Linked DNA regions of Astyanax mexicanus. The protein of the gene in region 3 interacts with the protein of the main gene of each other region in a pairwise test. Links are inferred from orthologs where the notes say so. Each region holds a gene or a part of one and is shown on either strand. Other genes may lie near its edges. The genes, in order: smc2, kif5aa, traf3ip1 and smc4.

The links.
Region 1: the proteins of traf3ip1 (region 3) and smc2 interact in a two-hybrid assay, tested with the Homo sapiens proteins (2 studies listed by BioGRID and IntAct). The link is inferred for Astyanax mexicanus from reciprocal best matches to the Homo sapiens genes TRAF3IP1 and SMC2.
Region 2: the proteins of traf3ip1 (region 3) and kif5aa interact in a two-hybrid assay, tested with the Homo sapiens proteins (2 studies listed by IntAct). The link is inferred for Astyanax mexicanus from reciprocal best matches to the Homo sapiens genes TRAF3IP1 and KIF5A.
Region 4: the proteins of traf3ip1 (region 3) and smc4 interact in a two-hybrid assay, tested with the Homo sapiens proteins (2 studies listed by BioGRID and IntAct). The link is inferred for Astyanax mexicanus from reciprocal best matches to the Homo sapiens genes TRAF3IP1 and SMC4.

What each region holds. Positions count from the first base shown.
Region 1 is NC_064432.1:23,820,839-23,828,057, reverse strand, and holds the start of smc2 (structural maintenance of chromosomes protein 2), read right to left. Parts: upstream 3,026-7,219; 5' UTR 2,828-3,025; coding exon 2,660-2,827; intron 1,890-2,659; coding exon 1,740-1,889; intron 1,637-1,739; coding exon 1,514-1,636; intron 1,414-1,513; coding exon 1,375-1,413; intron 1,062-1,374; coding exon 951-1,061; intron 846-950; coding exon 801-845; intron 9-800; coding exon 1-8. Other genes in the region: exoc1l (exocyst complex component 1-like), read right to left, coding at 4,582-4,845, 5,869-6,032, 6,267-6,387. UniProt on the Homo sapiens protein: Central component of the condensin complex, a complex required for conversion of interphase chromatin into mitotic-like condense chromosomes.
Region 2 is NC_064419.1:9,770,966-9,777,909, reverse strand, and holds the start of kif5aa (kinesin family member 5Aa), read left to right. Parts: upstream 1-3,922; 5' UTR 3,923-4,136; intron 4,137-4,266; 5' UTR 4,267-4,305; coding exon 4,306-4,434; intron 4,435-6,944. UniProt on the Homo sapiens protein: Microtubule-dependent motor required for slow axonal transport of neurofilament proteins (NFH, NFM and NFL). Can induce formation of neurite-like membrane protrusions in non-neuronal cells in a ZFYVE27-dependent manner.
Region 3 is NC_064418.1:38,618,455-38,626,143, reverse strand, and holds the start of traf3ip1 (TRAF3-interacting protein 1), read right to left. Parts: upstream 3,007-7,689; 5' UTR 2,848-3,006; coding exon 2,725-2,847; intron 1-2,724. Other genes in the region: agr1 (anterior gradient 1), read left to right, coding at 5,630-5,705, 6,718-6,816.
Region 4 is NC_064411.1:42,058,523-42,065,424, forward strand, and holds the start of smc4 (structural maintenance of chromosomes protein 4), read right to left. Parts: upstream 3,027-6,902; 5' UTR 2,854-3,026; intron 640-2,853; 5' UTR 627-639; coding exon 482-626; intron 1-481. Other genes in the region: ift80 (intraflagellar transport protein 80 homolog), read left to right, coding at 5,450-5,484, 6,827-6,902. UniProt on the Homo sapiens protein: Central component of the condensin complex, a complex required for conversion of interphase chromatin into mitotic-like condense chromosomes.

The DNA.
Region 1 (7,219 bases), on a different chromosome or scaffold from region 3:
GAACGCTCCTGTAGGACACAAAACAGTGAATAACTGATGCTGAATCTTTAGAGCTGATTACACGTCCATGATAATACATATAATAATAAATATCCCACCCAGACGGAACGAAAGAACAGACAGAAATTAAATTTATTGAAAAAGTATCAACATTGTAAGATGGTTTCCATTGCACGCTCGACTGATCATGTGACCCATGTAAAAGTGGGACTTATTGCTGTACCTGAGTTACTATTCATGTTCATCTATATAAGCTGTGGCTGGAGCTTTTCATTGTGACTGGTGCTGTCACACTCTAGAAGTGAAAAACGAAGCCTCGGAGAAGAGTTCCAGAGGGGTCTTAAGGCAGTTTAAACCTCTACGGTGATTCAACATGCCTTTGGCTTAGCCTGTGCGAGCGCCCTATGCAGCTACCCACATTAATTTTACTGCCTGTCCATATGTGTCCCTGACTCTGCATCACTGCAGTTTAAACTGCGAAGGCAGCAACGTTAGAAATGTAATAAAATTTACAATAAAACCTCCCATAATGTAAGACCATTTTGTGTTTAAATGCCTTGTATAACATTTTAGGATTATCAGATTAATGAAAAACATTTAAAAATATATATAAAAAAATACCAAATTAATCCAATTACATTAAATTTATGTACTTAGATTATTCAAAAGGAATTTAGTGGAAAATAAACAGACCAAACATTTCAGCTTTATGGACAAACTAATAACTGGGAATAACTGGTTTAAGAATAACTGGTTTAATATATTACTAAACTGGTAGTGCTGGGAGTGTTGTGACTGACCTCTTTCAGTTTCTCCATAGCAGGGGTTATCTCCTCTTCCAGGATCTGTGATTAAAGAAGATTTTATCCATTATATAAGCAATAAAATACTACACAAACACAAACTACACACAGTACACAAACACACACGCTACACACAAACACAAGTACCGTTTGAATCTCTTTCAGTTTAGCATCTTTCTTCTCGATGGTCTTCTGAGCGCTAAGTTTCTTGCACTCATACATCCTGGTACCAGCAGCCTCCTCAATCATGGCCAGAATCTACACAAGAATATTACATTTACATAAGAATAAATTATATAACAAACCAGTTTTCAAAACCACGAACAGGGATGATTTATACTTATTTAGCAACTATTTAGCACCTGAAATGTTTTATATGATTCAATTACAATAACATAGAAACTGTTAATTCATTAAGAACAATTACATTTTTAATAAAGTAAGAAAGAAAAATGTTGTTATTTAATTTTGCAAAACAATAAATAGCAAAAAAATCCAGTATTTGGTCAAATGTTTCTTGGCCCAATTAACCAGTGTTGGAAAATATTAACTCTCTCGTGGTACCACTTACCTCTGGTGGTTTCATGTTCAAAACTTTGGTGATTCGACCCTAAAAGAAAAACAACAGTTACCAAAACAGAAATATCCTGTAAATTAATAATAATTTATTCCACCAGCTATATCTTTAAAAAAAAAACATAAAAACATACCTGCATAATAAGAAAATGAGGATTGTTCACATTCAATCCAACTGAGCAGAAAAGATCCTGGACTCGCATATTATTAGCATTCACTCCATTAATGAGGTACTTATTCCTTCCACCGATAACCACCTACACACACACACACACACACACAAAGGAGGAATTAAACACCAGACTTATCACAACACGCTTCACTAATACAGATAAAGCAAAGAGAGGCCTGCAGGCTGACCTGTCTGGTGATGGTGATCTCATCGTGGGTTTCAAACCCCAGTGGGCTCTCTTTCTTGTTGGAGTTGTCAAATACAATGGACACTGTGGCTTTAGTGATTCCAGCGAGCCCATTTTTGTACACCAGGTCCTGAAGATTAGACGCTCTGACCTGCAGATATAAAAACAATAATAATTTAATTAGGCTTAGGTAAAATTAGAGCTATAATGTGTAATGAAAACCCAATACGGTCAAATATAAGGTACAGCAAAAAAACGCAAGTTTCAACAAGAAGCAAATACTTTAATAATTTAGGGATTGTTTCATCTATATATTCAATATTAGTATTATTACTATAAGCAGTAGTAGCCTAGCTAACCCTCACTATAAACTAAAACTAGCTTAGTTAGCCAAGCTAACCCTCACTATAAAATGACTAACTCAGTTAGATAACCTAGCTAACTTTCCCTATAAACTAACACTAGCTCAGTTAGCTAGCCTAGCTAATTCTCCCTACAAACTAACGCAAGCTCAGTTAACTAGCCTAACTAACTTTCCCTAACTCAGTTAGCAAACCTAGCTAACTCTCCACATAAAATTACGCTAGTTCAGTTAGCAAACCTAGCTAACTCTCCACATAAAATGACGCTAGCTCAGTTAGCTAACTGTACCTACAAACTAACGCTAGCTCAGTTAGCTAATTCAATAGAAACTAACGATAGCTCATTAAGCCAACCCAGCTAACTCACTAAACAAAATAACACCGCCTCAGTTAGCCTAGCCTAGCTAACTCTCCCTATAAACTAAAGCTAGCACAGTTAGCTACCCTAGCTAACTCTCCGTATAAACTAATGCTGGCTCAGTTAGCTAGCCTTGCTAAGTCGCCATATAAACTAACGCTAGCACAGTTAGCCCAGGCTCCGTATTTAATCGGTTTTTACCTGCGATAAGTTGGAGATTCCGAGCAGAAAACAGATGGAGTCTAGAATGTTGGACTTGCCGCTGCCGTTCAGTCCGGTAATCGCGTTAAACAGCGGGTCGAAGCCGGAGATCTCAGTCCGCTCCGCGTAGGACTTGAAGCCCTCCAGCACTATAGACTTTATATACATCTCTCCTGTAAAGTCCGCGCTACCCCGCTGTACTGCTCACTGCGCGCCCCGATACTCTATACTCTATAACTGACGCTCTACAGTAACTGATAGATAATCGATAGATAATCGATAGTAACAGACAGCAGCAGCAGCGCTGATCTATAACCGCCGGAAAGCTTCAAATGTTGAATTTGGCGCCAGACCGCCCCCCCGCTCTTCCTCTGCTGCGCTCTGTGAGTGATATATCCGGAGTGTGCCGCCACCTGCAGGTCGGAATCAGTTTCTCTGATTGTGCTGTTTATAGGTTTATGTTTGAGTAAAATGAACATTGTTGTTTTATTCTATAAACTACAGACAACATTTCTCCCAAATTCCAAATAAAAATTTTGTCATTTAGAGCATTTATTTGCAGAAAAAAACTCAAACAATGCAAAGAAAAGTTCATATTCATGCATATTGGCATTTTCTCCTCCACCAGTCTTACACACTGCTTTTGAACAACTTTATGCCTTTACTACTCCTGGTGCAAAAATTCAAGCAGTTTAGTTTGATTTGATGGCTTGTGATCATCCATCTTCCTCTTGATTATATTCCAGAGGTTTTCAATTTGGTAAAATCAAAGAAACTCATCATTTTTAAGTGGTCTCTTATTTTTTTTCCAGAGCTGTACATAGATGCCTCATTACAGGCTGGAGCGTAATCCAGCATCGTCACCTTAATAATAATATAAATTGATAATACAACTTTTAATTTTATGTTATGTTATGACACTAGTTGTCAGACTTTAAAAAGGTATTATTTTATTTATTGTTAGATTGTATTATTATTATTATTATTATTATTATTATTATTATTATTATAATTATTACAGTTTGTATTAAATGAATTTCAGATCCTCAAAGCCGGGCCATGCATACATGAAGTAAATACACAAAGTAAACAAAAAAACAAGTTTTATTGTTCATTTGAAATATGAACAATACATAAATACACACTTTATTTATATATATGCATAAAGGCGTACAGTACATTTATTTATACACTTATTAATATGCCATACCATAGGTCTGTCTTTGTTAGAGAGCATAATACAACGTATTTCAGCATGAAAGCACATATTTGTAATGATAGCTGATTATTATAGCTTTATTAAACACCTTCCTCAGTACTTATAAATGCACTGGGGGCGGCCGCGCTGAACTTCAGCTCCAATAGACGGCCTTAGTTGATGAGGCGTCTATGCATATTATGTTTTTGCTAAGGTGCATAGCCCCTAATGTAACATTTTGTTAAAAAAAATGACCACAACTTATTAAGGCATGGGAATTATATGATAATGCATTGGAACAAGATATATAAGACATGGGAACAAGATAATTAAGGAGACTTCATGACTATACTGTATTAATGAAGGGAATTAAAGGCAGTTATTATGAAAATAATACTCATGACAAATGGATTGTTACAATAAAATATAAAAACACAATATTCAAACATTCATCAAGCATTTACAAGTATTATTTACTTTATTTGTAGCTTTTAAAACACTGCAAATAATAAGGTTATTCTGTCTACAAGGTAAACATAATAAAATCAATTGTACATAAAAAATGTTAACAGTGATATAAATGAAAATCAACTTATTTGTAAAAAAAAAAGAGATTTGAAATAGGATGAAATGACTGTCAGCTGCAGTGAGGTGTTCAGTGTTTACCTGAGTGTGAGATGTTAGAACAGCTGCAGGTGATTCAGAAATACTGTTAATAGTGAGACTAAACAGGTACGGGACACAGCGTGAGACACACCAGGTTAAAGGCGTAGAAGCAGATCCTCATCAGGACCATGCAGTCGCCTCTGCTGGAGTAGATGGAGGTGGGCTGGACGTAGGTCCAGTCGAAGTTGTGGATGCGGAGCTCGCTGTGCTGATGGGTCTCACTGAGAGCCAGGAGGCATCGGGCCAGGGAATACTTCGCCGCACAGTTCACCGCTTTCACCGGACGCACTGTATCAAAGTGCATCAGGAAACAGGGATCGTCCTGCCGGAGGAAACAGAGAGATCATACAGTGAAGGATGTGAATTTAAATGCAGTTTTAATTTAACTGCCCTTCAGACACCATCAATCATGCTATACCAATACGGCTTCCCTGCCCTCTCAGCCAATCAGTGAGCTCACTGTGCTGCAGGGCTTTAATCCATACAGTTTTCAAATGCTGTATTTAAGTTTAAAGCTGTATGAACATTCCTGACTATACACTATTTGATACTGTCTGTGTTTGAAATATTTACAGTGGATTTGTTTTACAGTGGCTTGCGAAAGTATTCATACCCTTTTACACTTACACTTTTCCACATTTCTTCACCTTACAACCACAAACTTAAATTAAATGTATTTTATTGAGATTTTAACTGATTTTAAGACAAACACAAAGTGGAATGAAAAAATGATACATGATTATAAAAAAAGTATGATGCAAAAGTATCCAGCCCTCTTTACTCTAAAACCCCTAAATACAATCCAGCGCAACAGAGTCAATTAATTAGTTAAGAGAGTACAGCTGTGTGTAACTGAGGCCTCAGTGGTTTGTTAGAGAACAAGAGTGAACAAACAGTATCATGAAGACCAAGGAACTCACCAGACAGGTCAGAAAATAAAGTTGTGGAGAAGAAATTTAAAGCAGGTTTAGCTTACAAAAACATATCTCAAGCTTTGAACATCCCAATGAGCACTGTACAATTCATCATCCAAAAATAGAAAATGTATTATTGTGCAACATTTTGTGTTTGTCTATCACTTGTCAAATCGCAATAAAATACATTTAAGTTTGTGGTTGTGAGGTGACAAAATGTGGAAAGGTTCAAGGGGTATGAATACTATTTCAAGCCACTGTATCTGGGAGATACAGGAAGGTGGGGAAATATAATTATTATAATAAGACACATACAGTGGGGAAAAAGACATATTTGATACGCTGCTGAATTTGCAAGTTTCCCACCAACCAAGAATACAGGGGTCTGTAATGGTGTAGCTGCTGATGAATCAGTGCTGGCATTAACTCACTATATCAGGATCTCGTCCATCCAGAACCCTCAGTTCCTGCAGAGCCCAGACCTCCGTCTTTACATAGCTGTCCTCCAATCCTATTCGCTGAGCTTTCTTATACCCAGACTTCTGAGATTTCCTACAGCGAACCACTGTGATCTGCACCTCCTTACCTTTAGATACTGCACACACACACACACATAATACACAAACATATATACATATATACAATACACACACACAACATATATATGCACACACAGAACACACATATGTTGAGTTTATACAAATAGATAATTAGACTTTGGGTGATTTCTTACTATGAAGATTTACCTTATATACAAGCAGATTAAAATACTGGACTGAAAGATTTTTGTGTGATTTATGTGAAATGTGTCTGTTAGTTAGATTCTTACCGGATACACAGAGGAAATGCCGTCCTCGTTTCTTCTCTTCGATCTCGATAAACTCCACCAGTCTGTGCTCCTCCGGTCCGAACAGAACCCTCTGCATCTCCTCTTTCAGCAGAGAGGACATCTCTCAATCAGTACACCACTGATCAATATATCAGTGATCAATACACCAATGATCAGTATACCAAAATCAATTCAAATAATACATGAAGATCCAACAGATAACTGAGAAAACTAACTCTCTCTTTCCTTATCTCTATATCTCTCTCTTTCCTTCTTCCTCTCTCTCTTGCTTCTTCTCTGTCTCACCCCCCTCTATTTCCCTCTTTCTTATTTTCTGTCTTTCTCTCTTTCCTTTTCTCTATATTTCACTTTCTATATCTTTCTCTCTCTTTCCTTAACTCCTTCTTTCCATCGTCTATATCTCTCTTCTATCTCCCCCTCTCTCTCACCACTGCCTTTATTTCGCTCTCTCTTTGCTTCTCTCTATATCTCTTTTACTCTCTATCTCCCCTCATCTCTCTCTTTATCCTTCCCTTTCCCTCTCTTCCTCTCTCTCTCTCTTTATCTCTCTCTCTTTTGAAGGTATCAATAGTGATCCAAAGGGCTTTTCAGTTTAAATCTGTTATAAAGGCAATTAAAGACCAGTTGCTCTGAGACCACTCAGAGACTTTATCGACCGTAAATATTCAATTTGAGTTTGATTTAGAAATGCATAATTTATGTCTATAAAATTCATTCACATAGATGCGCACTGCATCCATCTCACACACGCACACTTATTATTCTGTAAAAAGATAATCGATATTTTCCTCTGCAGCTGTCATTAGATGTGAGCGAGCTGACGCCAGGTAAGCGGGTTTGGGTCTGTTAGGCTGCTGGTGGTGAGGGGAAGTGCTGATCCTCTGAGACTCAGCTAAAGTGCTTTCAATTTATTTAAAAGGGAAAAAGAAGAA
Region 2 (6,944 bases), on a different chromosome or scaffold from region 3:
TAATTTGATCGCATTTTGAAAAACTGAATTAGTGAGGTCAGAATGTTGTATGATTTCACCTCCTCCCAAATGTTGGAGGTAGCACCATCATCATTCCAGAGGTTTTTATCCCTCTAGCCCAGATCTGCCTAAAACTTTTTTCTCTGTTCTAGAGAGTCCATTTCTATTGGCAATGATTCTTTGCAGGTAATAGACAAGCTGAGTTTATGCATTTTTTTGCATTTTGTATGTGTCAGAAGTGGTAGAAATGGACAGTCCTTAAGTTTTAGAGTGCATTCAAAAAAGTACCCTTTACGTACGTTTTAACCCTTTCAAACCATGTGTTCATTGCAAAGGAAAACATCTGTCTTCTTCTTTTATGTATTCTTGCAGACAGATTGAGACCTATTATGCATCAGAACAGACATACATCAGCCAAACAGCAGTTTAGCCCTGCCACGGCAATGGAAAAGTAAAAGTCTGCACAGTAAAGCGCTAAATATGGCAGAGTAACACTGATTTTATGAGTTTAGAAATGCTTATGAATGATTGTGAAAAACTTTTATATAAAGGAGTTATATAAAAATTATATGGAGTAAAAATAACAGTGCTAAACAAATTTCACACTTCACTGCAATAAACAGAAAATACATTTATTTTTTTATTTGCTGAACCTTTTTTGGAGTGCATCATAGACAGAAAAGTGGATTATTATTCAATATTTTTTCATCACTGGAGAATACATCAATGTCTGGGGATTTTAGTGACAGCTATGTTGAGCTCTTTTTTTACTTTGTCAGCCCTTATCAGTTCTCTAATTCTGTGTTTTATTGTTTTATGATTTGTAAATGAGCAGATGAAAACTGAATTTGCCTTTCGGATGTCAGCCTACAGTAGTTAGGCTCCACCCATTTACGCTGAATTTTTAAGGAGGGTTTCTACATTTACTGAGCCATTCAGAATAGAGATTATTTATCTATAGCATTATTAAAGTGATTTTGTGTTTTAATCAGAAAAACTAATATTATCAAGTTGCAAGAACTTACCAGCCAGTAAAGCTCAATAAAATGAGTTCAGAGAACTTTAACCTGAAAACTTAAAAATGCTTGTTGAGCCAAAGAAATTAAATAATTGTTGTGTGAACAAAAATCTGTTAAGTTGAATAAACTTAAAATTGTATATATTTACGACTTAATGGAGTCAATGCAAAAGGATGAATTGACTGAGTTAAGTTGAGCCATTTTTTTTTCCTGTACAGTAACAAAGAACTTCTGATAAATGGAATTGCAACTGTTTTTGGGACCTACACACATGCAAATAATAGTAAATGAAATGATATGTGGAATATGCCCCGTCTAATTCATATAATCCTAATTATTTTGTATATCTATCAATTCTTCCGGTGTATTCTTGATAATGATGTTTGAAGCTACTGGATACAATTAAGTATCTATGTACCTACCTACCTACCTGTCCATCTGTCTGCTGTCTGTTTGATGTTTACAGGGCATTAAAAGAACCAGACATTTACACCAATTTTCTGTATCCATAAGACAGTGTGCTGCTGATATACTTGTATTAAAGTCTAATCAATACCAAACGTCCACTTTAGAACCGTTTAAAGAACTGAAAGTCTGAGAAAGTAAGAATCAGGGGTATAATCTCAATGACCCCATAGACCCCTTGCCCCTAATTAGACAAAGTGACTGCATCAGATCTGCATGTTCATAGGCTGTACACATTCTATCTGCATTAAATATCAAGAACATTTTAAAACATTACCAGATTGTTTTGTGTTGTGAAACAATGTGCTTTGTCATTGCTGTAGAACTGCAGAATCAGGGTCTTTTAACGAGAACTTCAGCGCTGGGTATTTATGTTGTTTTCTTTCCCACCCGTATTCAGACCGGCTTTGCCTCGTGTGCTGGGATTGGCTAGAATTCTAGACGGAAAGCCAATCACAGCGCAGGACACAACGTGGAAATGAATAGGGCAGTAGTAACTGTATTTTTTCAGTTTTCTACAAATAATGTACAGATTTTAAGAGATTACCCAAAACATAAAAAAGCCAAATAACTGTAGTGAAACCACTGCTTTCTAACAAAAAAAATAAAAAATAAAAATAAAAATGCTAAATAACTGTAGTGAAAACACTGCTTTCTAACAAAAATAAAAATGCAGTAGAACTGTAGTGAAAACACTGCTTTCTAACAAAAATAAAATGCTAAATAACTCTAGTGAAAACACTGCTTTCTAACAAAAAATGTTAAATAATTGTAATAAAACCACTTCTTTCTAACAAAAACAAAAATGCTGATTAACTGCAGTGAAACCATTGCTGTCTAACAACAAATAAAAATGCGGTAAAACTGTGGTGAAAACACTGTTTTCTAACAAAAATAAATAAAAATGCTAAATAACTGTAGTGATACCACTGCTTTCTAAGAAATAATAAAAATGCTGAATAACTGTAGTGATACCACTGCTTTCTAAGAAATAATAAAAATGCTGAATAATTGTAGTGAAACCACTGCTTTCTAATAAAATAGACAAAAAAAAATGCTGAATAACTGTAGTGAAACTGTTGCACCTTAGCCTGTGTCTGTCTTGAATTATTTCCTCTTTTGGTTCCATGTGCTTCTGTCCTCTGTTTTTCTGTTTTGTTATTGTCCTTTCTCAGCCCTAGCCCCGTCCTAGCCATTTGATCCCAGTGTTATTGTTTTGAATAGTCTTTGTACTTGTCTAACTAAATAGTTATCCCAGTGTTGTTTATTGTGTTTTTGCATTTCCGGTGTTTTCTGTTTTGCTTTTGTTTATCTTGCTTGATTTTATTTCATTTAATTGATATTATCTGCATTTATGTCCATCCTCTCATCCTTCTGTTTGTGACTTATTTAACAAAAAAATAACGCTGAACAACTGTAGTAAAACCACTGCTTTATAATAAAAAATACAACAAATAAAAATGCTGAACTATAATAAAACTACTACTTTCTAACAAAAAATAGAAAAATGCTGAATAACTGTAGTGAAACAACTGCTCTCTAACCAAAATTAAATTGCTAAATAACTAGTGAAACCACTGATTTCTAACAAAAATAAAAACACTGAATAACTAGTGAAACCACTGCTTTCTAATAAAAAATAAAAATGCTGAATAACTGTACGGAAACACCTGCTTTCGAATAAAAAATAAAAATGCTGAATAACTATATGTAAACCCCTACTTTCTAATAAAAAATAAAAACTCTGAATAACTGTAGGGAAACCCCTGCTTTCTAATAAAAAATAAAAATGCTAATTAACTGTAATGAAACCACTGCTTTCTAATAAAAAAAATACAACAAATAAAAATCCTGAACAACTGTAGTAAAACCACTGCTTTCTTACAAAAAAAATGCTGAATAACTGTAGTGAAACCACTGCTTTTTAACAAAAATAAAAATGCAAAATAACTAGCATTTTTAAACCAAAAAATTTTCTAACAAAAATAAAAACTCTGAATAACTGTAGTGGAATCACTGCTTTCTAACAACAAAATACAAAAAAATAAAAATGCTGAATAACTGTGGTAAAACCACTGCTTGATAACAAAAAAAGAACAAATCAAAATTCAGAATAACTTTAGTGAAACCACTTCTTTCTAATAAAATATTCCAAAAATAAAAATGCTGAATAACTTTAGTGAAACCACTGCTTTCTAACAAAATATTTAAAAAACAAATTTGCAAAAAAAAAAAAATGCTGAATAACTGCAGTGAACCCCCTGCTTTCTAACAACAAATAAAAACACACAGTGGGCGCGTCATTCTTCCTCTTACGGGAAAACAGATCCTGTCAGCCTATCGCAGCGCGGGGGGCGTGGTCTGTCTGAATGCGGGTGGGGAGTGAAACACAGCTATACTAGCGCGGATGCGAGTACCGCTTTAACAGCAGCGGATAGACCACGCCCTGCCGTCCGGGAGGCTACAGGCAGCTCAGCATCCTTCGCCCTACAAGAGCTGCTTCACCTTCGCCAAGAACAACAGCGGAACAGAGCAGAGCGGGCGGGCGAACAGCGGCGGATTTACCGGGTTTTTTTTATCTTCGCAGCTCCACCTTTAATCTGCGGCTCTGCTCTCTGCATCGCAGCGGCGGATATAACATATTTACGCAACGTAAGCTTTCACTGGCAGATTTATTTATTTATTTATTATTATTAGCCTTATTTACCTTTATTTTTGTAATGCAGTCTGAATCATATATATATATATTAATAACGCGAATGTTGTTGTTTTATTATTCCAGCCCGCTTTTCTCCAGTCTCGTGCAGTCTCAGTGTGCATCATGACCGAGCCCGCCGCAGAATGCAACATCAAGGTGCTGTGCCGCTTTCGCCCTCTGAATCAGGCCGAGATCCACCGCGGAGATAAATTTCTCCCCACCTTCCAGGGGGATGACACCGTCGTGGTTGGGGTAGGGCTGCTTATCTAGCTTCTTTTTTTTTTTTTTACATAATATGATTAATTTAACCCAGAGATGTAATATATACAGTGTAACGGCTGTGAGGAAGAGGCTGGTTTACTGAACGGGAGAAATGGCGTTGGCTGAGGATGATGCTGAGGCATACTGAGGATGGGCCGTATGACGTAATCACCGCTCGTTTATCATTATTCTCCCTGCTGTAAATCGGTACCCGAGCCATTCATTTAACCTTCGTTGTGTAGAAGCTTTTTCCTCAGGCTGCGGTCAGTGGGGTGATGTAGATCCGGGTGTTTTTGTCTTTCTCTGCTTGGTTGTTTAGATGGTTGGTTAGATGCTGGGCTCTGCTGGGCTCTGCGTTAGTGTTTATTAATGTAGGCCCGTAGGCTGTTTATAGCCACGTTTCCCTCTGATCGATCAACCCAGGTTCTCCAGATCCACAGCCTAAATATCCGTTTACTGATAAAAAAAAGACCTGAAAAAGGGCAGTGATTTATTTTTGTATTTAGTTTTTCTTTTTTTTAATTATGATGATGATGTTACAGATGCTGATGCTGATATACAGGTTCATTCTACAACTGAAGGGAGGGTACTGTGGGGGTTTTGCATCTCCCCCTATAATAAATCTGATTTTTAAAAAATCAGTGTCATATAATAATTCTAATAAATTAATTGCATTCATTTTTTGCTATTAATTACTGTTAATTTATATATGTTTAGGCATTTGTATGTGTACATATATACACAATATTATCTAAATGAATCCCACCCACTCATTATTGACTATTTAATTATTTAATTATTTAAATAGTGTTTTTCAAATTTCTATCTAAATTTTTCACCAATTTAGCTGTATCTATTATACCACTCATTCAGTTGCACTCCCCCTACATGTGAACTCAGCCACCACCTCTTTTTAAAATGCTGTTGATGTAGCATTACCGTGTAGCATCACAGCACACTCGGAGGAAAGCACAGTGACCCACATCTGATACATCAACTAACAGACAATGTGCTGATCCACATCACTTTGTGAGTGATGTGGAGAGAGAAAGAGAGCACTGTCTACCCACCCAGAGAGAGCAAGGATCATCAATACTGTTGATGTATGTTTTTTAGGCATTTGTATTTACATACAAAATAATAGTTAAATGAATCTCAACCACACATTATTGACCATCTCCATCTCCTGATTAATACAGTCCATTTGTTTTTTACATTAAAAAAATTGAACGCTACTAACTGCTATAAATAAGGCTGGGGCGATATGGCAAAACTATGATTTCACAGTATTTATAGACAGTTTTGAATCCATTTGATTAATCAAATAACCTTTTTAATGATAGATAGATAATTAATAGATAATTGAGCTTGTACATTTTTACATATAGAAGCTGTCAGATGAAATCTCAGTAAAGTATCTTTGCACTGTGTTTAATATAAAAGCTGCATATAAGGTTAAAGGCAGCTGCATACTTTTTGTAAAAAAAATGGATGTAAGAACTAAAAATTGTAATAGTATTCAAGAATTACCCATGTATTTGAAGAATATGGAGATCATTTTTTTTTACAATATCACTCAGCCCTTCTATACAGATAATATTGTGAAATTTACAAAAAATAGTAATAATCTCTTTAAAAAATACAAACACTTCAAAACAAGAACAATCAAGTACAAATACTTTTATTCAAAATAAAATGTATTGGATGAAATGTATTCAATTAAATTGCATAAAGTTGGGCCAGTGTTTTTTAAGCACTGTTGATATCCATGATATGCTTAAAAATATATACACAAAAATATGCACAAAAAGATCTCAAAAAATTAGAATATCATTGAGAACTATTTTACTACTTTATTTCAGTAATTCAGTTCATAATGTGAAACTCATATATATTATTCTAATTTCCTGAGACAATGATTTTTAAGTTTTCATTGGCTGTAAGTCATAATCATCAACAGTAAAATAAATAAATGCTTAAAATAGATCACTCTATGTGTAATACATATATATATATATATATATATATATATATATATAATAAAAGTTTCACATTTTCAACTGAATTCCTAAAATAAAGTAACTTTTCACACACACACATATATATTTATTTATTTATTTATTTATTTATTGCAGTAGTATATAAATAACATTCCAGCTTTGTTATCTCTGACATAAAATTGCATAAAATCTGCAAACCATTCTAATAAAGGCCTGTGACCTGCACCTAATGTCACTTTCTCTGGTTGGAAACGTATAAAATGTATGATAGTCAGAGAGATACAGCACCTGTCAAAAGAGACACACCTTCTCATTCAGTATTTTTCTTCATTTCCTTATTTATTTAAATAATTAATATTAAAACATGAAAATAATTAAGAACAATCATGAACAACCCTGTTTCATATTTAAAGAGTGATAACAGAGTTGATTAATGAGTTAAATCTTTTCATAATTGAAATGTACCTACAATTCTAGAATAAGCTATATCAAGAAATTTAC
Region 3 (7,689 bases):
AGTGTGTTAGAGTAGGAAAAACACTACATATGCACGTCATGGGGTCTTCCATGACCAGAGTTTGAAACCACAACCCAAACATAGTGGGTAACAAAATTGCCCTTCCTGTGGCAGATTCCCCAGCTGGACAAATACATCTAAACAAAGATATGTTAACCATGTCTCTAACACTACATTTGCCTGTGTAAAATGATTTAGGTATATAATCACTCTGGATAAGAGTGTCATCCATATATCATTAATGTAAATGAAAATAAAATCATATATGTGCACATATGGCCTCTTGAATTTGTTAAAAAGCAAAAAAAAAAACTCTAAAATATAGTGGTAGTTATCCAGGGCCAGGGTTGGGAACAACTGGTGTGATGGGTACCAACATTGCTCCTCCAGCATCAGTAGATGTCTACCTCTGTGGCTAGGTAAGCGGATGCAGACCGTACAAGCACCCATAAGGCTTCCTCGTTTGTTTGCATAACCATAGCTAAGCAAGGTGCCTGGCAACAGTGAAGCAGTGAGAGAGGCACTAACAGAACAGAGAGACAGTGTCTCATTCTCTAATCTGAAGCTGAATACAACAGACCAAGACATACATAACTGTCTGACAGTAGAAACAGTGGAAGTATTAGATACAGGTCCACTTACCAAGTATTATTAACTTAAGGTCAACCCCCAAAAGCATCATAATGATAACTCAATAACAATGTAGGTTTCCAGAATACCCATCTATTATGGACGCTGGTTTATCCTAAAATGAACCCACATAAACTGTGTTTATGTGCACCATGGTCCTTGGAGGAACGTTGTTTCGTTTCACTGTGTACTCTGTATATAGCTGAACTGGCAATAAAAACCACTTTGACTTTGACTTTGACTATACAAGTCCTAACTCAGTTTTTACAGATAAAACCTAAACTCAAGATCTCTTTAATGCAGTTTTTACTAATAAAAACCCATATTTCAGATTTAAGCTATGTAATATTAACTAGTAACACTATCAGATCTACAGACCAAGCTATTATCACTAGTTATATTACCAGGAGAACATATCCTTTATGTATTTTGACTAGTCATATTATTATGACTGATTTACATTATTAAAATACACTCTCTTATCTATAATACATTTTTGTTTACATAATTACATTATGTATAACTTCTCTTTACTCTTGAAAATTGTCATTCCAGACATCTACAATGTAGTTTTGAGAAGTAGAAATTGCAGTTTAATACACTGAACTAAACTGTAACTATATACAATTTCCATATTAGAGATATAAACCTCAATTCCTTAACCCACACTACTAGAAGTCAAAACTATACAAGCCAGAATTGATTCATAGATGCAGACCTAGACTATATTAGTCAGAATGGCAGTGGAGATATCTTGAACTATATTTTTGTTTTGTAAGGGAAAAAAAGTAATTGTAGATATCTATTACTGAAGATTTTACTTGTACAAATGTAATTATAGGTAAGAAATATAGATTAAAAATACAATTACATTACATATATGTGGTCCTGGTAATATTAGAGATATCAAAACGTGTTTAGACATAGATCTGTAGATCTAATATTATTTATTAATAATAAACATCTTAGAGCTTATATCTGAAATGAGATCTGTTATTTTAGTTTTCATAGAAAAAACTGAGTTAGGACCTGAGCTCTTTTAAGAATTTAGAAATCAAAATTTTGTTTTTTAATCACAGTTTTCATGCATCTTGACATGTTCCTCTCCACCAGTCTTACACACTGCTTTTGGATAACTTTATGCCAATCCTGGTGCAAAAACTCAAGCAGTTCAGTTTGGTTTGATGGCTTGTGATCATCCATCTTCCTCTTGATTATATTCCAGAGATTTTCAATACGGTAAAATATAATAAACTAATCATTTTAACTGTTCTCTCATTTTTGTTCCAGAGCTGTAGATGATGTGACTAGTCAGAATGTGTTTAGCTATAGCTCTGTAGATCTGACATAATCACTATTAAAACTTTCAGACATTATATTTCAATATATAAAACTAGGCTAACTATACACAGGTTACAGAGATCTGCAGCTACTTAAGCTAGCTAACTTGAGTTTTGACTAGTAAAATGAGAGTTAGGACCCGAGTTTGGTACTGGTAATGTGTGTCTAGTCAGAATGTGTTTAGCTACACATAGATCTGTAGATCTACAGATCTAGTAACTAAACATTTCAGAGATGATATCTGAAATAATAGTTTCTATTAGTAAAAACTAACTAGCTAACTTAGCGTTAAGTTAGCTACAGAGATCTGTCACGAGCTAGGTTAGCTAATTAGCCAACTTGAGTTTCACTAGTAAAAACTTGGGCTTGGACTAGCCCTTGTAGCTAGTTAGCTGAAGCTGGTGGTGTTACTTTAGGCTATAACGGTGGGCTATAATCTACAGTGGTGGTGAAGCCAGAGCAAAACTTGGAAAGGTGCAAAACAGCAGAAGAACAACCACCTCACATCACCTTACAGCACTAATCCAGATCTGCAGCTCCCTGCAGAGCTCAGGAGAGCTTAAGTAGGAGTGCTAACCGTTAGTTAGCCTGTAATGCTGTGCGCATCTGGACCGACTGAGCCGAGGAGTTCAGAGCCAGACACAGTAACGTTAGTGAGCTAGTTAAATTATCCAGCTATAGTTACGTGATGTTTAGCGGTTTAAGCTAATTTCTCGGTAAATAACCGAACAGACAGCTCTCCTCCGGACTCACCTCGCTTAATATATCGTGCAGGTATCGGAACGGCGGTTTGCTGAGCAGTTTTTCAGTCAGGGGAGGCTTCTTTATCACTCTCCCCAGAACCTCCTGGGTCTTTTTAGCCACCGAGCCGTTCATAGCAAAGCCCTACGGTCCTCTATTCGACGTTACCGCTGCTCCCGTGTGAAATATTGAGTAATTCACCGCAAAAAGACCCCAAAAACGGAGGAGCTACAATCACTGAGCGGCTCTCAGTGTTGCTGTGTCAATAGCGTTCAATCCCACAATGCCCCGCTTCGCCAATATGCGCACGCGCACACCCTGCGTGGTTGTCAAGGGGTGGCAAATATCCATGGCAACGGCTAACAACTCCGGGCCTGTTTAATAGCATGATACACTTTAGCTAAAGCTAATACAGGATTTTAGCTAAAAACACATTTTATTATACATTAAACATATGAAAAAATTAAACATAAAACATTTACTGCACAATATACTGACTATAACAGAATAGAGAGTAATGGAGAGTAATGTTTATATGAATATAAATATTTAAAGGGGATATAGATGAACTCCTACTACTTATAATGATAGTAATAATAATAATAATAATAATAATAATAATAATAATAATAATAATAATTTTGCAACGATCAATTAATCAGTCAATCTTTATTTTTTTCTCAGAGGTAGCTGCACTGAGGGTGAGCCCGTATTTTCATTGCCGCCAACAATTTCCAATAATAGGGATTTATACTCTTTACATAAAAAAAAAATAAAACAGAGGACAGTAATCAAGCTAAAACTAATGGAAAAAAACCCCGAAAATAATCATTATTATTAATTAATATTAAACTGAAATTAAGACTTTTTTAAAAAGAGTTCAGAAAACCCAGATAGCAGATCTAGGGAAATACATAATAAGAAGGTAAACCAAAGATAAAGATAAATAGGTATAAGAAAGGTTTAAAAACAAGAAAATGTAAACAATTCAATGTAATATTTTAAGTACAAAAAATAAACTTAAGCTAACTAACTAATAATGAAATTATACAATAATAAAATATTATTGATGATAAAATAATAAACAAACATAAACAAACAAATAAATAAAAAGTGATTTGAAAAAAGTAGTTAAGGTTAAGAAAAACAGGTAGAGGCAGAATGGATGTGGTTAAAAATTAAAGTATAAAATGACTGAGTGAAATGCGGAATTTTCCAGTTAAGTAAAACATTTTGTTCAGGTTTACCAGAAGAATAAAAGTAACTAGTTTTTATATATAAGTAATTTAAACATCTCTCTGCATGTGCCCATATAGACATGAAATCCTTTAAATAATTTCAATGGTATTTTGTCTACCTTGGCCTTAGCCAAAATAGTACAATGGTTTAAAACTACAATGGTAAAAATACTGTTGAATAATTCAAGATGTCCTTGATATTTATATGATACTATTGAGTATTGTGGTATATTGAATATACCACTGCACATTTAGTACCATGAAATACCATCATACCATGGAAAAACTGCTGTATTTTTTCACATTAGATGGATTTATTAATATTAGGCTACAGTATAAAAAGCTGTCCAGTGGTGGCTCAGCTGCAAGTTCTGGATTGCTAATTACAGGGCTGTGGGCTTGCTATAACTATAAATGCAAAAAGGCACATTATTATTGCAATCAAAGTAAGTGTTACAACAGTGAAAGTGAAATAATAGTTACAGGTTATGAAATAGATCCAATTCCAATGAGCCAATTCACAATATCACTGATTGCAGAGCACTGCCTGTGCTAAAATCTGGCTTGTTCACTCTTTGACACACCTAAAAAAATCTGCCGGTCCCATGAACAAAGCTACAGACAGGGAAAAAACCACACCTTTAATTCATAACAGCCTCTAGGCCTCTAACTGGTTTAAGCAAATTCTGTGCTTCAACATACACAACAAAGGCAGCCACACATTCTTAATTACAAATCACCCCTGTATAGTTCCAAAGCAAGATCAATACACCCCTGTGATTAACAACTGAACAGGTGTTATTTTCTTATTTTATATTTTCTCCATCTTTTATTCCCCCCAATTTAGCTTAGCTAATGAACCTGCTCTCACATTAGGATGTCCTCTATCACTATTAATTCTGTTACATGTGAAGCCAGTCGTTGTTTCTTCAAATGCAGAATCACTAGGTAATCAATGAGCTTAGAAAAAAGCACCAAATCCCTAGTTCTGATACATCAGTCAACATACATCTGTGCCAGCCAGCATCACAGACAGTGCCATCTACCTACCCGGACAAAAAGAGAATGGGTGGCAAGGCAGCTTGACCTGTGATTTGAGCATCTGGTCCTTGTGCCATAGTGTCACCTTCTTATGAAAAGAGGTTCTTTTCCTGAAATTCTGAACCTGCATGCTGTATCTCTACAGGTCATGCCTAAAACCAATTTTATCTCCACCAATCCACAGGACGTGTTTCTTTGAAAACTTGTGTCACAAGAAAAGTATTCTTTTGCCTACATATAGGTCACAATATAAAAGTGCACTACCACCCCAAAGTCAGAGTCAATCTTCCTTAAGGTCTTTTACAGTCAAAGAGTGGGTTTTGATTTTCCTTTTTCGAAACCAGTCAAATGTAAAATTTGGGGGGGGGGGGGACTCAAAACTAAGCATATTAAATATCAGATCATCTTCTATTTACTTCAGTATTTCTTTAGTAAGAGATCAGTATTTGTCCAAGTGTAACCTGTGCATGATTCCCATTAGTGCTAGTAAACAAAACATGAAAAAATAATTGTAAATTGTGGTTTATATGAATGTGAGAATTTGAGTCATTGAAAAGCTACTGGGAGGAGGACGTCTTGTTTAGCCATGTGTTCGTACGTGTATTCAGACCTGTTTGGCGAGTTCTTTTAAGCTATAAATGCACCTGCACCACCATGAATACTGTCAGACTGACAGAGCAGAAGAGCAAAGCTGGTTCAGCCGTTTCACTTTTGGTAAGATTTCTTTTTACTTAAAAACTGGTATTTATTGTTTTTTAATTAATTATGTATTATTGGGAAATTGAAAGGTGTTGTGTTTATGCTTGGCTGTGACAAATTAAATGTCATATTTGTTTAAGTTGTGTAAAGTGTATATCTGTGATTTTTTTTTTTTCGTTTTTGACAACAGTATAATTTATTTTCACACAACTGGGATAAGTGTAAGCTAATATTGAGATATAGAGGAAGTTATGAACAATTATTATAATCAAAACAAGATGCTAATGCTTTTACCAGCCTGTCTAAACATGCATTTCTAAAAAAAAAAAAACTAATCACATGCAGGGTTCTCAATATTTACTCCACAACATGATTTGTAAAAAAAAAATCATAAAGGAATGGTCATAAAGTAGCTTTTGAATAGACCAGTTATTTGTATATTCAGACCAGTTTGGTGGGTTTCATAGCTATACATATACCTGCATACCTGTGGGTTCTGTCAGACAATTTTTTTATGTCTACAAAATGTTTTGTTTATTGTATTGGCCCAATGTGTATGTCATTAATACAAATAAATGTGTGTAGATATTTTATAATTAAAAAAGTAGCTGTTAAACAGACCAGTTGGCCATATATTCAGACCTCTTTGGTGAGTTTCATAGCTGTAAATACACTCGCATGTGTGTGAGTTCTGTCATATAAAATGTGTTTAGGCTCATGTTAGCAATTGCAGGAAGATTTTTCAATAAATCTATTATATCCTGATTTGTAAAACATCCTCAAGAAAAACTACACCTACAAACAGTGCAGTTGCCTTTTAAACCGACCAGTTAATCATGTCCAACCACTTGCTCAACCAGCCACCTCCTCTTTTTTTTTTAAGCAATCCCTTTAATAGCTACAGGCTGCAATGTGAAAGGGGTATGGTACTTAACTAAACACATTCCACCATACTGATCATACTGATAATTTAACACTTAACACAGACATGTGCACAATATACTCACTGTTTGTCTGATTCTTACAGTAATCATGGGCCGCTGGTGTGTGTACGCATTGCTCTTCTTCTTATCCTGTGACGTCTCCATGCAAAGAAAAAAGAAAGTAGTCCAGACTCTCTCCAGAGGTAAGATCATTTCAAAATATGTATACGTATTTTTCCACACTATAAGGTGCACTGGATTTTAAGATGCATTATGCGACACTAGCAATGAACAGTGGTGTCGCCCTGTTTTCCTTCTGATTCAGCAGGTCTTGCCACTGGGTGACGAGACCTTTAAATCTAAGCCATGCAAAGTAACAAAACTATAATTCAAATAAGCACTGGATGTTAATCTACACAGATTTCTCTCCTAAATACAGTTTATTTGGGTGAGTAAGGAGCTTCTATTTATTTGCTGCAAGCTTAGATTTCCAGATTTCCTTAAGTGTTCCGGTAAACCAGGGTGCTATTAGCTAGTGGTTTACAGGTTAGACAGGTTAACCTGGTAGCAGGTTACAGACCGATAATACTCACCTCTGAACGGCGAAAGAGCTAGCTAATGCTAATACTGCTCAAGTTTTGAGTCTTGGGGCTGGAGAACCAAACTAAAACTCCTGTATAACACTGCACTTCAGCAGAGTGGCTTTACTGCTCCTTACAACCTTTCTTAAGTAAGGCCATGAAAAAAAACTCTTGGATTTAAATTTGTAAAAGAAAAACTGTCTTTGTTTTAACTAGACTGACTCTTATTGCACTAAATTAGGATGATGTGTCCTGTAGATCAAACAAATTTGAAAATGTGCTATAAAAAGAGCCCATATATATATATATATATATATATATATATATATATATATATATATATATATATATATATATATATATATATCTTTTATGCTATATCTACTTGACTGTGTCCCAATGGGTGCTGTTTCTTGTAGAAAACTAGAGGTCCTACAGGTAAGAAAACATAAAGAAGTTCACATTTAGATGCAATAAACCAACCAGTGTGCCAGT
Region 4 (6,902 bases), on a different chromosome or scaffold from region 3:
ACAAAAGACGCACCTATCAAGACAGATTACACTAAATTGTTAGTTCACGAATAAGATGGAGACAGAAACTTTATTAACACGTTTTCGTTCAAAACAAAACAAAAAAATAAAAACAAGTTAGAAAACACACAGAAAGAAGATATACATAGAGAAGGGGTACAAAAACTTCTGTAGAATAAGGACAGCAGAGCTAAGTTAATGCTTTAGGTCAATTATTTAAAACTTGTCCCAACAAAAACAACACTACTAAGACTCCTGTCTTTATCATTTCAAACTAAACTAAAAACATAAAATATACCAGCTTACATTGCATACGTCCATATTAATATTAAAGCAACTATAACAACCACAAAAATAACCATATAACTATAAACTCACAAAAACACGCGTCCAAAAATACCATACGCGACACCCAGAGTAAAGACAACCTTAATATGTTGTTGCCAAAGAGCAAAAAGTAGAGCAATCCTTTGTTTCTTACCATTAGTGTTGGGTGCTGGTGGCAGGTCTTGGTCACCCGAGCGAGCTTCTTTAGTGGGGGCTTGGTGTATCTCCTCGTCAGAGTCATCCTGAGACCCTTTTCCTCGTTTAGCAGCAGTGGAGGACTTGGTCGTTTTTCCTGGCATGATTGGCTAAAATCTGAAGGAGAAATTGGGCAGGGGTCAGTAATCATGGCTAGCTTTAATAGATCCAACCCGGCCTGAATCGGTGACTCGGTCCAGTGTAGCCGGTGCTCATCATTATGATCATCATAATCATTCTCCTTCATATCCATCTCCTCTCCAGAGTAAAACAAAAAATCAATAATAAATAATCGAGAGTATCCACACGACGTTGATTCAGGTTACTTGGTCTTTTTGCGATGCATTAAACTCCTCGACTACTTCCAGCAGCAGCATGAATGAGACCGATATGTTAGCTAGATAGACTTGGCTGGACCTGTCCTGTCTTTGTTGTTGTCAGAGGTTGGCAAGCCTGCCTCCGTGTATACGCTGTAGTAACGCGAGTTAGCTAGTAATTCACAAAAAAAAAAAAGCGTTTAAAGAATAATTAAGCATTGACGTGAACATCCACCGTCTCCAACAGTTAGGCGAATAGCTGTTCATGGGTTAAAAATATCTTAAATAATAAAAAAGCCTAGTTTAAAAAGTAGCTTTGGTTTAATTTGATATTTCCCCGCCGAATATCCGTAAAATAAGCTCTAACGTATTTTCTAACGCTGACGATTTGCACGGTGGCCAACTAGCTAGGTTAACTACCAAACACCAAAGTTTCACTGCTCACACACACAAAGCGTCAAGAGTTGCCCTGCACTAGCACGACGATGAAAAAAAAAATGGTGACGTTTCTCTCTGTCAACAACGAGCTATGAGACGCGAAAGGGCGAATTGATGCTGCCAAGGCGAACTACATTTGTTTCTGCTAATAAAAAAAACTAACGTTATCTTGTTTAAGTGCAATTACACATTTATACAAGCACCTATTATTACACTAGATATTTTTTTATTTATTATTGATTAGTGGCGCCAATCTGCATTTAGACTAGTAGTTAGTTAGCCAACTAATCCTAGTTAGTCACAAATAGACAGACTATAATAGCTAGTTTGCTAACTAGATAAAGAGTGAGGAAGATAGTATATAACGTTACAACTACACTAGCTAGCTTGATAAGTTAACCTACCTACCTACATAATATGTCCAATATTTTTGTGTACACACCATCTAATGAACGCCAGCTAACTACATGCATTGGTGGGTTTGACACACACAGCCTGTCTAGTCCCTTTAGAGAAACACTGCCAATATAGGAAATTTAACTAGCTTGAACTCCCTGGGGTAGATAAACATGAACATGCTGGCACTATGGTAGCTTAGCTACGTTAACTAAAAAGTTATCGTAACTAGCTATAAAGCCCCCCCAGCATTAAGCTGTGAGGCATTGGAAAACGGTGTTGTCTGGAAGAATTATTGTGCTCCATCCAATACTTTTAGCTAGCAAGGTTAGCTAACTAGATGTAAGGAGCCCGAGTGTTAGGTTAACACGTGTATAGTTAACTAGCTAGTAAGCTAATTTAGGTAATCTAGCTTTAAATTAACAAGGGTTAAAATATAGCTTGTTTTTTTAATAACTTAACGCTAAATTAGTTAATCTAAATAGTTAGGATATGTTACGGAGTTGTAGCAAGCTATCTAGAGCGACGTTTTATATAGCTAACCTAGCTAATATATCCGATATTTTGAATCGTATTTAAAATACATTTAGTAACCTAGCTTAGCTAATGTAAGTTAATTGTTATAACGTTAGATCCAAATGAAAGTATTAGTTAGAAAACAAATGCAATGAAAACCTTAAACCACAACACAGCGTGGGAGTAACGTTATTAGATTAATGTTTAAATGTTGTTTTCTGCTTACATGTTCCTAATAACAAAAAACGTGAATGCTAACTAGCTAGCTAGTTGAACCAAATTAATGTTAGTTAACCTAGCTAGCTAACGTTAGCCAGCTCGCGTTAGTCTAGCTTGTCAGTTAACAGTTACATAACTAGACAGCTAAGTTAACTAACGCTATTTTAGCTAGTTTTGCTAAGCTAGCATTAACTAAGTTAAATGTATTTCGCTCGTAAGTAAAAGTTATTTAGCATAGTTAACTTTTTAACATAGTTCCTGTATGTTGATTTATGTCTTAACGGTTGACTATTTGCACGTGTATACTATAAAAATGCAGTTAATAGTCTACTTCCAGCTTTACATTAAAATCAGTCTGCCGTCAGTCAGTGATATTCCCCCTAATAGCTGCTGAAAACAATACTGCCTCTCTAACAAGCTCCGTGACTAAATTAAAACCGCTTACCTCTCAGGTTTGAAAACGCTCTCCTATGTAACCCAAACGTGTCGACTGCCTAAAAACGCGTTTGTAATTTTTAAATATAAAAATAGCATAAATCCGAGCCCGTTTATTTTCGCTGTGATGAGGAAAATCCAACTTGAAAATGGCGCCTAAATTCGTTACAAACCCGCGCAAGGCATCATGGGAGCCTGCGCCGACTTCAGTGCCCAAATTCAAACAGAAAAGTGCGGACTGTGCCAATTGTCGTGTTCAGATGTTCAGCTGTACAGCTAATACCGTCTTTAAACTCATTAAAAACGTGATTTAGTTCTGTTTTTTTTACATTACCCAAAATATTAAGGGATTTGAGCAATAAACTGTGTTGTGAACAGCAGAAATGTATCACACAACGCATGTGCCGAGTCTGAGCTATTGGTTTAGTCCAGAGGATCTTGAGGAAAACTCACCACCACGGTGGACGGAGAGGGCGGTTATATAAACCTGATTTTAGATATTATAGTCTGAATATCAGTGCTTACAAAATGTGAAATAAAAATAGAGAAAGTCTTTTTTTAAGTAAGATATTTAATATATACTTGGCAGGCAAGTAGATAGCAATTTTGATTTTAAAAAAGATACACTAACTTAAATGTTTCAGCATCATCTATCATTATAGCATGTAATCTGTTTAATTACTTGTTAATTTTTTTTAAGATACTAATTTATTATTTTGAAAAAGTAATTACTTACGTTCTCAAAATAATATGATAGCAATTGAAATACATTTGGTACTTTTTGTACATGGCGTACATAAAATATAAATAAAAAAGTAAATAAATATATTTATATATTCAGTGGTATGAAAAAGTATTTTCCCCTTTTATATCAGACATACATAACCTAAGTAAATAAAAAAACACTTTCTAAATTATAATTTAATTTATAATGGAAAAAACTATCCAAACCAATCACCAGACAATCCTGAAGAAGAAAATCCGGCCACCTGCTTGTGACCTTAAGCTCAGGCATACTTGGCTTCTGCAGCAGGACAATGACCCAAACAGACAAACAAGTCCACCCCTGAATGGCTTAAACAAACTAAATAAAGGTTTTGGAGTGGCCTAGTCAAAGTCTGATTTAAACAAGCTATTTATGCTTGAAAACCCTTCAAAGTGGCTGAATTAAAACAACTGCATAGAAGAGTGGGCAAAGAAGAGTAGACCAAAATCCTCCACAGAGATGTAAAAGACTCATTGCCAGGTATCAGTAAAGCTTGGTTGCAGTTGTTGCTGCCAGCTGACACAACCAAGTTATTAGGTTTATGGGGGAAAACACTTTTTCACACAGGGCTACATTGGTTTGGATAGTTTTTTTTCTTTTAATAAATAAATAAAAGTGCTTTTCATATTTACTAGGTTATATTTGCCTGATATTAAAGTTTGTTTGATAATCAGAAAAATATCAGTTTGACAAAAAAACAAAAACAAAAGAAATATGTAAGGGGGCAAATACTTTGTGTATATATGTGTATATATAGTCTTGTCTGGGGTTTTAGCAGAGTGCAGGCAATGTTTTAAATATTTAATTCTCCTTTGACTTATAATAATAGTCCATATGAACAATAAATCTCATATAAACTCGAGTCTCACAAGAAATAATAATGTGAAAAAAATGAGGGATACTATTGAGTTCTCATGGTGTGCCTTACAGGTTGTAATTATTATTGATTTAGAATTTAAACTTTTCTAATGTAGAACTTATTTGTGGTTATTAACACTTCTGTTGAAAGCATTTTTAGGTTGTGATGGGCAGTGCTTTGACCAATGGTTGATGGGAAAGCAGAAAAATAGACCAATCGTGGATGCAGGAAGGCGGGGCTTCAATAAAATCAATATCCCAGACATTTTACAAAATGTAGAAATATCAGACGCATTTTTAGATGCCATAAGGGGGCGTGTCTGATAAAAAAGAGACATTTGGTCAGTCTTATTTCTATAAAATGTGTCTGAGTGTAGCCAGACGAGCTCTCATTGTGAAATATCGCGAGAGTATGGCTCTGGAGAAGCTTCTCGGGTAGCGCTGCACTGGGCAACCTGAAAAACAGAAACAAAACACGTTAGAACTCTGAGGAATGTGCACTGAGTTAGCTAGCTTTATCAGAGACGTAAGCATACAGTCTATTCTCTGTTTTAGAAAGAGCTCTGTTAGTTTTTACGACTTCATTTTTTGTTAAAACAGCCGTTGGTTTCATACAGTTAGCTTTAGCTTGAGCTAGTAGACAGGCAGTCAACGCGTTACCCGTAGCAACGAGGTTTAGCTCAGAGGGAGGAAGGATTTCCATAACGTTACTTCGCCGCCTTTTGAAGCTACGCTGTTTTTTTGTGTTAAAGAGACACATTTGAGATGTTTTCGTATCACAGACGTTGTTGAAGACGGTGGACGAAGCTGTTGGACCACATTTCATCCATTTATGTAAGTTATTTAGCAACGAATGACTGTTGTCATGAGTCGAAATATGTAATATTTCTGTAGCTAATTATGTGGAATTCATCCTCTTCTATGTCTGTCCTGACTCTCCACAGGATTTTGATTTTATGCTACACCTACGCTGAAGGAGAACATGAGATTCAAGCTCTCTCTGTTAAAGGAACCGAAACATATCCTTTCGTGATTTAACTCTGTATTAACCAGCTAACCAGCTGCGGAGTTCCCAGATGTATTATAATTTAACGGTAGCCTAACAAAGGATATTTTCCTCTAATCAACATTTTCTAAACAAGTAACTTAAACATTACAGATCACGAAATGTTTACAAATGCCATGTTAACAAAACACAAGACATGCCAATAATCATAACCGTTACTGCTTGATATTAATAATAAGAACACCAATGATAATAGGGGTGCTGTCTGTTTCATTATTTGGCCAGGACCTACAGTACCAGTCAAAATTTGGATATACCTCTTCTCACTCAATATGTTTTTTTCTTTCTTTTTACGATTTGTTAATTACAAATATTATATTGAAGACATTAAAGCTTTATTTATTTTGTTACAAAAAGTGTTCCAGAATTTCCCTGCACACAGACCTGCACACTGTTGGTATTTCAATCTAAGTGTCTTCATGAGGTAGAGTCACCTGGAATATTTTTCTCAACATCTTAAAGGAGTTCCTGGAGGTGCTGAACAATAGCTGCTGCTTTTCCTTTATGCTGTGAAGCTCTAACTTAGCTCATCCCAAATCACCAACTCCGTTGATCAGGTTTAGGTCAGGGGTGGTGGAGTACAAATTTCTTTTTTTGTTTTACTACACAGTTCCATTCATTTTTGTCCCTTATTTTTATGTCTTTAATATTAATCTACAATGTAGTACAATAAATTAAATAAAGAAAACATGGGCTGAGAATGTGTGTTCAAACTTTTGACTGTTATTGAACACTGACATACCAAAAGTATTGGGATAGCAGTATGCAAATTAATAAAGAAATGTTCCCTCAGGGGACCGATTGGTAACACTCAGAAGTGTTATCTTGTGAGTAGGGATGCGCTGAAATACAAAATTGAGTCAAAACTAAGGAAAAACTCCAAATACAAACATTACATTTTCAAAGTTCTGCTGGCACTTAACATACCTTGATCCACAGTGTCACGTGTATACAAGGAATTTACAGGAGAAGACTAAATTACCACCCATGGTGGACTGCACAGTAGGTGGTAACGATCTAATGGCGTCTGAAAAAATAAACCAGAGAAAAATAATGCAGAAAGCCCCTAACACAGATCCCACAGGTCAGTGCAGTGTTCTTTAGCTTACATGTGACATGACAAAAGTGATGGGAGATGATGCTGGTTCAGTTCCCATGGCTTTCCGTGATGATTGTTCCTATTTTGGCCCTGTTTATTCTGGCTGTTGTGTGTTATGAAAATAAGTACACCAAAAGAGATGCAATAATCAGTAGGGGAAAATAACTTTTTACAGATCGCCTTAACAAATGTGCACATACAGAACTGGTCAGCTGTGTGGGCTGGACCACAGCTGATGAACTATTCTCCTGCAGTGAAGACCATCAGATT